Linked DNA regions of Caenorhabditis elegans. The protein of the gene in region 1 interacts with the protein of each later gene in a biochemical or structural test. Each region holds a gene or a part of one and is shown on either strand. Other genes may lie near its edges.

Evidence for each region.
Region 2: the proteins of efn-4 (region 1) and lad-2 form a complex in vitro, tested with the Caenorhabditis elegans proteins (one study listed by BioGRID).

Annotation. Positions count from the first base shown.
Region 1 is NC_003282.8:556,911-560,833, reverse strand, and holds the start of efn-4 (Ephrin-4), read right to left. Parts: upstream 1,601-3,923; 5' UTR 1,597-1,600; coding exon 1,499-1,596; intron 47-1,498; exon of another isoform or gene 1-46. UniProt on the Caenorhabditis elegans protein: Regulates the formation or stabilization of cell-cell contacts at several stages of epithelial morphogenesis. In early embryonic development, involved in ventral closure of the epidermis.
Region 2 is NC_003282.8:2,976,580-2,980,502, reverse strand, and holds the start of lad-2 (Neuroglian), read left to right. Parts: upstream 1-2,018; 5' UTR 2,019-2,104; coding exon 2,105-2,171; intron 2,172-2,216; coding exon 2,217-2,331; intron 2,332-3,055; coding exon 3,056-3,172; intron 3,173-3,218; coding exon 3,219-3,289; intron 3,290-3,923.

The DNA.
Region 1 (3,923 bases):
TAAATTCTGAATCAGGAGGTCAGATCGAAAACGGCGTACAGAAGATGTCAAGTGCATTGACCCTACTAAAAATGTCATCGTTGGGACCACCCATCCAATAACAGAAAGCCGGAAATGGGAATGCTCTTCAAAAAGTGAAACCGAGAAGAGAGCAAGGAGTAGAGGAGCAATTTTCGTCGTCGTCGTCGTAGACCTACTTTTAATCGCATCAAATATGTCTAGTACATACACATATAGACCACCCTGAGAGAGAAAGAGAGAGGACCCTCTTCTCGTATTTCCACACCTGAGTTGCATAACGTACACACCATCTTAAGCCCCTCGAAAAAAAACCAATGAGCAAACACAATGCTCAAGTATGAGCAGTATATTGATATTACTCCAAGTAAATCTTGACCATGCACACACACACACACACACACACACACACATCCGGTACGGGGGCTAGGTGACTTATCTCAGTATGTCATCGATAATTACCATAGTATGGTGTGCTAATCTAGCAAAATCTTGAACGCTCAATATTCTGGGAAACTCCATTATTCCATAAAATTGGGCGACACACCTAGTTAACTCTCGAGTTGACACCTGACAAAAAAAAGTGACACCGACCTCCACAGTGCGCATTGTTATGCAAATAGCACGCGGGTTCGCATACCGTTAAAATGATCAGCAAGTATTGAAAAGAAAGACGGGTGTACGGGGAGGTCGACTACTTCTAAAGTCTTAGGGAAGTAACGTAATTTCCTTTACACCCTCAAACTATTTTCCGAAATTGAAGACGTATATCTCAGTTGTCTTTTGTTTTATCAAAAAGTGTTTTACTATGAAAATGTAGAAAAATATTTTTTGCATATTTTTTTAGTTAACCGTTTTTTGATAAAATCAAAAAGAACCGAGATATAAGCTGTCAAAGTGGAGCGCTGCCCGACTCCTTGGCTTTACTTTGACGTTGTAAATCTCACTTGGTTTCAAATTTATCAAAACATTTTCTACTACAAAAATGTAGAAAAATACTTAGCGCGTACTTTCCTATTTAAAACTTTTTTGAAAAAAGTTAAAACAAGCGAGATTTGCATACCTAATGGAGTAAAAACGAAAAAACGGCTAAGAAAAATTGCTCAACTGCTAAAGTCTAAAATCAATTCAAATCTCAAATCACCCTCGCTCCTTTCAAATTCTAAAAGACGGACATGGGTAAACAAGGTGAATTTGAGAAGCAGGTGTACCAAGCACCTCTCTCCATTAAAGAATTTCTAGTGGGGGTCCGGTGTATGCGGCAAAACAATGCATCCGAGATAACGACTCCCTCCTCCCGTCACATTTACAATTTATAAGATGAAGAGCCCTGGAGTTTTCGAGCATCTGCGGAGCCTTATCGGCGAGAACCAAACAATAAGTAGTTTCGAACGTTTCACCCCTGATTACTGTTTGCTCAACTTGATAAGATAATAGGTTACCGCGAGCGCGGGAATCGTACTATTAAATGTAGACTTACAGTGAATTTGTAGAGTTCCAGTAGACAATGTGCTCGTCTGCAGCGGCCAGTCCGAGTAGCAAAAATGTTGTTATTAAAAATTCGAAGAATTGTTTCATATTGCTGAAAATTGAAAAATATAGAAAATTGGGTGTAGGAACAAACTAAAAAATAAGTGAAAAATTTTTAAAAAGAAAAGTAAGATAGCATCGGAAAAATTGAGTAAGGCACAAAAATGAACAGGTAAGATGAAAATAGGTCTAAAGTCTAAATGTTTGTGTGCACACACATTTGATGAAAAGGGGGTGAACTGACCACTACTATGCAGTAGGAGACACGCGTCTCCGGAGAGCGCGCAGAGAAAATGAAGGTGGTGGCGGAGAAGGCGGGACTTACAGGGAAATAAGACGGGGGGGGGGGGGGCATCTGTTGGGACGGGTGTCGTCGGGGCGGGAAAAGGCAAGAAGAAGTAGAGGATTGAAATATGAGAAGTGAGTGAGAAGCCAACAGGACCGTCTCCTCCGGAAAAAGAGCCTATTAAAATGAGGATGAGCTGGATGAAGACGAGCAGTAGAAGTAGAAGAGCATGACTTTTTTTTTTTTTTTGAGAAATGAAATGGCAGCAATTAAGTCGTGAGAAGAGTTGAGAGCTAATCAAACGGGGAATAGGGTAAGTTGGAAGGGGAGGGAAAAAGTTGGATATTTTCAAGAATTTTTTTAAAAGTTCTAGATTTTCTGAGAATTTTAGAAAAATTTTTGAACGAATTTTTCCAGATCTTTCCAGAAAGTTCTAGTATTTTTGTGGCATTTTTTTGTACTTTGTGGGATCAAAATAGCTAACCCTTCTGCGTTAAAAATTAGTTTTTTTTTTTGATAAAGAAGAATTTAAATTCTGCTTTTTGCGGCAAAATTTTTATGGCAATAGTTTTTGAAAAATTGAAATTTTGGTAAAACTATATAATTTTGGAAATTTACAAAATTTGCGCCAATAAATGTAATTCTGTAAAAATTAAAATTTCAAATTTTGCGCCAAATTTACTAGAAATTTATTTTTCAAATCAAATTCAATATTCATTTATTCACAAGAAAAAGGATTTCTCATTTTCCAATTTCAAAAAAAAATAGGTGGGAAATTACAAATTTTCTTGAAAATTGTATCTTTAAAAATGTAGAAAATAGGTCATAGGTAGGTAGGCAGGTACAAGGTAGGCAGGCACGCAGGCATCGGGAAGGTGGGCATTAAAATGTTCAAGAACTTCCAAAAAACTTTTTAGAAAGTTCTAGATTTTCTGAGAATTTTTAAAAATTTTAGAGAATTTTCAATGATTTCATAGGATTACCTGAAATTTTTACAGGTTTAAAAAAAATTGAAAGAATTTTTCAAGAATTTTCCAGAACTTTCAAAAACTTCCAAGAACTTTTTGAAAAGTTCTGAAAATTTTTGAGCATATTTTTTTAGCATTTACTAGAATTTTCAAGGGTTTTCATGTTTTTCAGAAGGATTTTCAAAATACTTTAAGACATTTTTATAATTTCCAAAAATTTTCCAGAAATTTCTGGAATTTCCAGGAATTTTGGAATAATTTGTTAGGATTTTCAAGTTTCCCAAAGTTTCAAAACTTCCTAAAATTTTAGAGCACTGCCTAGAATTTCAGAAAATTTTCCAAGGATTAAAACGAATTGATATTTTCGGTACTTGTGTATTATACTTTAGGAATAGTGTTTTCCTAATTTTAAGCCTAAAATTCCACACGTTTTTATTTAAAAAGTTAAAAAATTAATTTATAAAATGGCGGGGGTATAATACACAAGTACCATATTTTCATGGATTTTGGAGAATTTTCCAGAATTTGCTAAAAATTTTCAAAAATTTTTTTTCTGTATTTCAATTGATTTTCTATAATGGTCTAGAATTTTCACAAATTTTCAAGAATTTTCCAGACTTTTCTATAATTTTCTATAATACTGAAGTCTTCCAAGTTTTTTGAAATAAATTTTCAGAATTTTCAAAGATTTCAAACCTAAGTTCTAAGCGGTCGGCAGGCGGGCAGGAGTAAGGTAGGTACTTCGGTAGGTATGTAGGTATGCTGTGTGCACACAGGTAGGTAGGGGGGGGGGCAGGCGGGTAGGTATAAACTAGGCATTTAGGTAGGTGTGTTTTGCTTCTAAATATTCAATTTCTTAGATATTTTTCCCGCTTAAAAAATAGATTTTCAGATTAAAGCATAAGATATTCTAGAACACAAATTGTTTTTCTCCTCTGCCCAAACAAAATTGCATACATCCAAATCTGGATTGAAACGGAATCTAATCAACTAGTTTAGATCTCCAGTTACGTCACTACTAGAATATTTGAAAATAGTCGCAAATTTGTTTGCCCCCCCCCCCCCCCCCCACCTCATCGTATATTTTATCATTCATTTTTACACTCTCCAATCACAAAGGG
Region 2 (3,923 bases), 2.4 Mb from region 1:
GAATTTTTCAGAAAATTTTTGAGTTTTTGGGGTGTGAAAATTTTCTGGAAGCTTCGTGAGAAACCTATAAAAATTGACACATTTTTTCTCAATTCTCGATAAATTAAAAAAATTCTCGAAACAAAAAAATGTCCTTCATCTACTTTTTCACATTTTCAAGAGCATTAAAATTTTGCAACTCTGGAAAAATCCACTGTTTCAGTAATTTTACAAGCTTCTTGCCATATATGTGGTGTTAGAGCGTCCGATTTCGGTTTGATCTACGTAGATCTACAAAAATTGCGGGAGAAGAGACACAGGGTTATCAACTGATTTCGCTGACGTCACAATTTTTGCGCAAAAATTCCCGCATTTTTTGTAGATCAAACCGTAATGGGACAGTCTGGCCCACCATGCGTATATTTTTATCCGAAATTTTATCTCTCCAAAAATAAAAGCAATCTTTTTTTCTAAAATTTCCAAAATCCCAAAAACTCGCCACTTGAAAATAGTTTCATTGTCCATCATCAACATCAGTTCCCTCTCTCCTCAAAACTAGAATAGCAGATGATAGTCTGCCTCATCTTTTTCCATGCCATCTCCAGTCATCGTCTTCCTGTAGGGCCCCCCTCCTGTGTCTCTGCGTCTCTTCGTCTCCCCTACTCTCTCACTTCCTGATTGGCTCGATTGTCCATGACGCCGAGGATAAGACAAGATTTTTTCTTGTGCAATTTCTGTGACTTCTGGGACCAAAAAAATATCGGAGCCACTGCAGGCGATGTTTTTCTGTTTACTTTGTACTTTTTGTTTTGATTTTTCTGAAAAAATTACCGAAAATACTTTATTTTTTATTATTCCGAAACGACGTTTTTCCGATCGAGAGCAGTTTTTTTTGTAGATTTTTGATTATTTTGAAAAGGTTTTTGGGATCGGAAATTTTTTAGTCAAGCTTAAAATTTTTTTTAAGTGTTGGTGTAGATTTACGGGGTCTAAAAGTGTGAAAAAAAATTCAGAAAATAAAAGTTCCAAAAAAATTCAAAACTATCACCCAGACACAAAATTTAGCGATTTTCCCTTCAAAACTACAGTACCTCGGGTCTCGAAGCGACAATTTTTGATATTTTTTTTATTACATGCAAGAAGGTGTGCGCCTTTACAAAGTACTGTAGTTTCAATTTTTCTTTTCGAGTTTTCATGCATAGTTTTTCACATGATTTTTTATTTTCTATAATATTTAAGTTTTTAAATGAATAAACATATTTTTGCTTGAGAAACTATAAAAATTGGCAAATTTCGAAACTACATCGTTTCGAGACCAGGGACTGTATTTTTAGAGCGAAAATTCTGGAAATTTTCAACTGGAAATTTTCTCTTTTTCTTAATTTAGGAGGACCCTAAAAAAAGAGTATTCTTAAAATTTCAAAAAATAAAAAATATATCCCTCATTTCGGCTTGATCTACGTTGATCTACAAAAAATGCGGGAGAAGAGACGCAGAGTTCTCAAGAACTTGCTGACGTCACATTTTCAGGGCAAAAAACTCCCGCATTTTTTGTAGATCAAACCGTAATGGGACAGCCTGGCACCACGTGCCCTAGATTAATCAAAGATTTTAAGAAAAATCCGCTCCAGGAGCATTTCTAAAGACTACTTAAATACGTGGTGTCAGGCTGTCTCATTACAGCTTAATCTACAAAAAATGCGGGAATATTTTTCCAGAAAAGTTGTGACGTCAGCACAGCAGTGCAAAATCAGATGAGATGTCTGCGTCTCAGCTCCCGCATTTTTCGAAGATCAAAACGAAATGGGACTTTCTGACTCCACGTGCTTACAGAGTGTTCACCATTTTCTCCAATATTCGATCACCCTCATGCACCATGCCATTCCCCCCTCTTCACCCCCCGTTTCCCAAATACCAGACGGGCTCCAATTTCTGTCAATGATTTGCATCTCATTGACATTCGCCCCGCGGACACTCCATAATCATACCCCCGCCCCGTGACTCCGCCTCCTTTTTCGTTATTTGATTAATTTCGAACATTTTAGACTGCCTGCCTATAATGCATCATATCCTGAGACGTCGGTAGATTTTTGGTAGCAGACTTTTTTTTTGGATTTTTCCAACAATGCGTTTAGTTATTGCACAGTTTCTTCTAATAACTCAGGTATTTGCTGCACAAAAAAATAGTATTGGTAAGAGTTTTGTAACTTTAAAATGTCTGAAACTGTGAACTCCAGGTCCCCCGAAGCTTCTAGAACAATCAGGCGAAGAGGTGTGGTATCATTTAGATGATGAGGATCTCCTCAAAAACAGGTTGACACTTCGTTGCGAGGCAGATGAGAATACTGACAGGTGGGTGGAAATTTGGGATTGACAGGTGCTGCGTAAAACATGCAAGCCTACCTAGGCACCTACTAGGTGCCTACCTGCCTACGTGCCTTGTACCTCTGTGCCTAGCAGGTGTCTAGTAGGCACCACCAACCTCGTGTTTACTTGCCTACGCCTCTAGTGAACAATACATTTTTATGCCTGCTTGCCTACTGGCATAGTAGGTACTACAAATTCCAGCTCTGCCTACTGCCTATTTTTTTTTAACTTTTTCGGTTTTTTTAGTTGAGTTTTTGGTTTGGTTGAAGGTACTTCGCACTATGCAGCTTATGTCTGGGCGCCTGTATATTGTAGGCCCTGCCTATAGGTATACATTTTTAAAATAGCGTGCCTACGTGCCTTCATGTCTGAAACTGAGAAATCTTGTTTTTTTTGTTGAGAATTTGATGAAAATTTTTGAGAGAATTCGAGAGCATTTTTTAAAATAGCTGTGAAAAGTTTGCGAAAAACCGTCGCCTGCCAGGCGCCTACCGAAAGACATGAGGCAGGTGTAGGCCTCCCATGTGGTAGGCAGGTAGACATTTATGCCTATATAAATAAACTATTTCTGCAATAAAAGTATGTGTTTTTTGGTTGTAGGCACAAGACAGGCAAAGGTCACCTCGAAGGTAGGCAGGCACGTAGGTAGCTATTTAGGGCAGGTAATTAGGTAGGTATGTAGGCAGGCATTTATCAACTCTATTTCCAGATACTCCTGGCTCAAAGACGGTGAGCCATTCGTCATTGATTCCGAAGATGTTCTTTGGGAAAAAGAAAGTCAATCTGGATCAATTGTTTTTACAAAACCTCATGCTAGTCATCAAGGGTGAGAAATTCAGATTTTTGGAAAAAAAAACCAAAAAATATTGCAGATATTATCAATGTTTCGCATCGAATATATTTGGAACAGCACTTTCGAACAAAATGCATTTGAGGCTTGGATGTTAGTTTTTAGATGATTTTTAGAATTTTAAAATACTGGTGGGAAAGTCGAATTTTATTTTTTGAACAATTTTGTGAAAAAATTATTTTGGCGCATAAAAAAATAGGAATAAAAAACGTTAATTTTTCCAGAACACATTGGATTATTTTCAGCATGGAAAATGCCCTGAGAATGTTAAAATTTGAATATTAAAAAAAATTCTGCGGGAAGTTAAAATTCAATTTTTTAGTTTCTAACGAAATTTGGTGTGGAATTTTAACTCAATTTTTGCCAGAAATTTTGGTGGGAAATTCAAATTTAAAACTTTTCAAAATTTGGAAAAATTAAAATTCAGTTTTGAAGCCATTTTTTCAACAACTTCCAGTATCAATCAATAAATAATAAGAATTATGCTAATAATAATAATAATGTGTTTGTTTTGAATTTGGCTCAATGAGCACTCGAGTGCTCTTTTTGCCCCCTTTTAGCTCGCCAAGGTGCTAATTAGTGAATGGGGACGGATTTAATCAAGACCACCCACCACCACATGTTGATTATTATAAAAAGGGAAGGGGAGAAAAAAGAAAAAAGAAAATGATATGTTTTATCGAATGTGGTGTCAGAGCGTTTCATTTCGGCTTGATCTACGTTGATC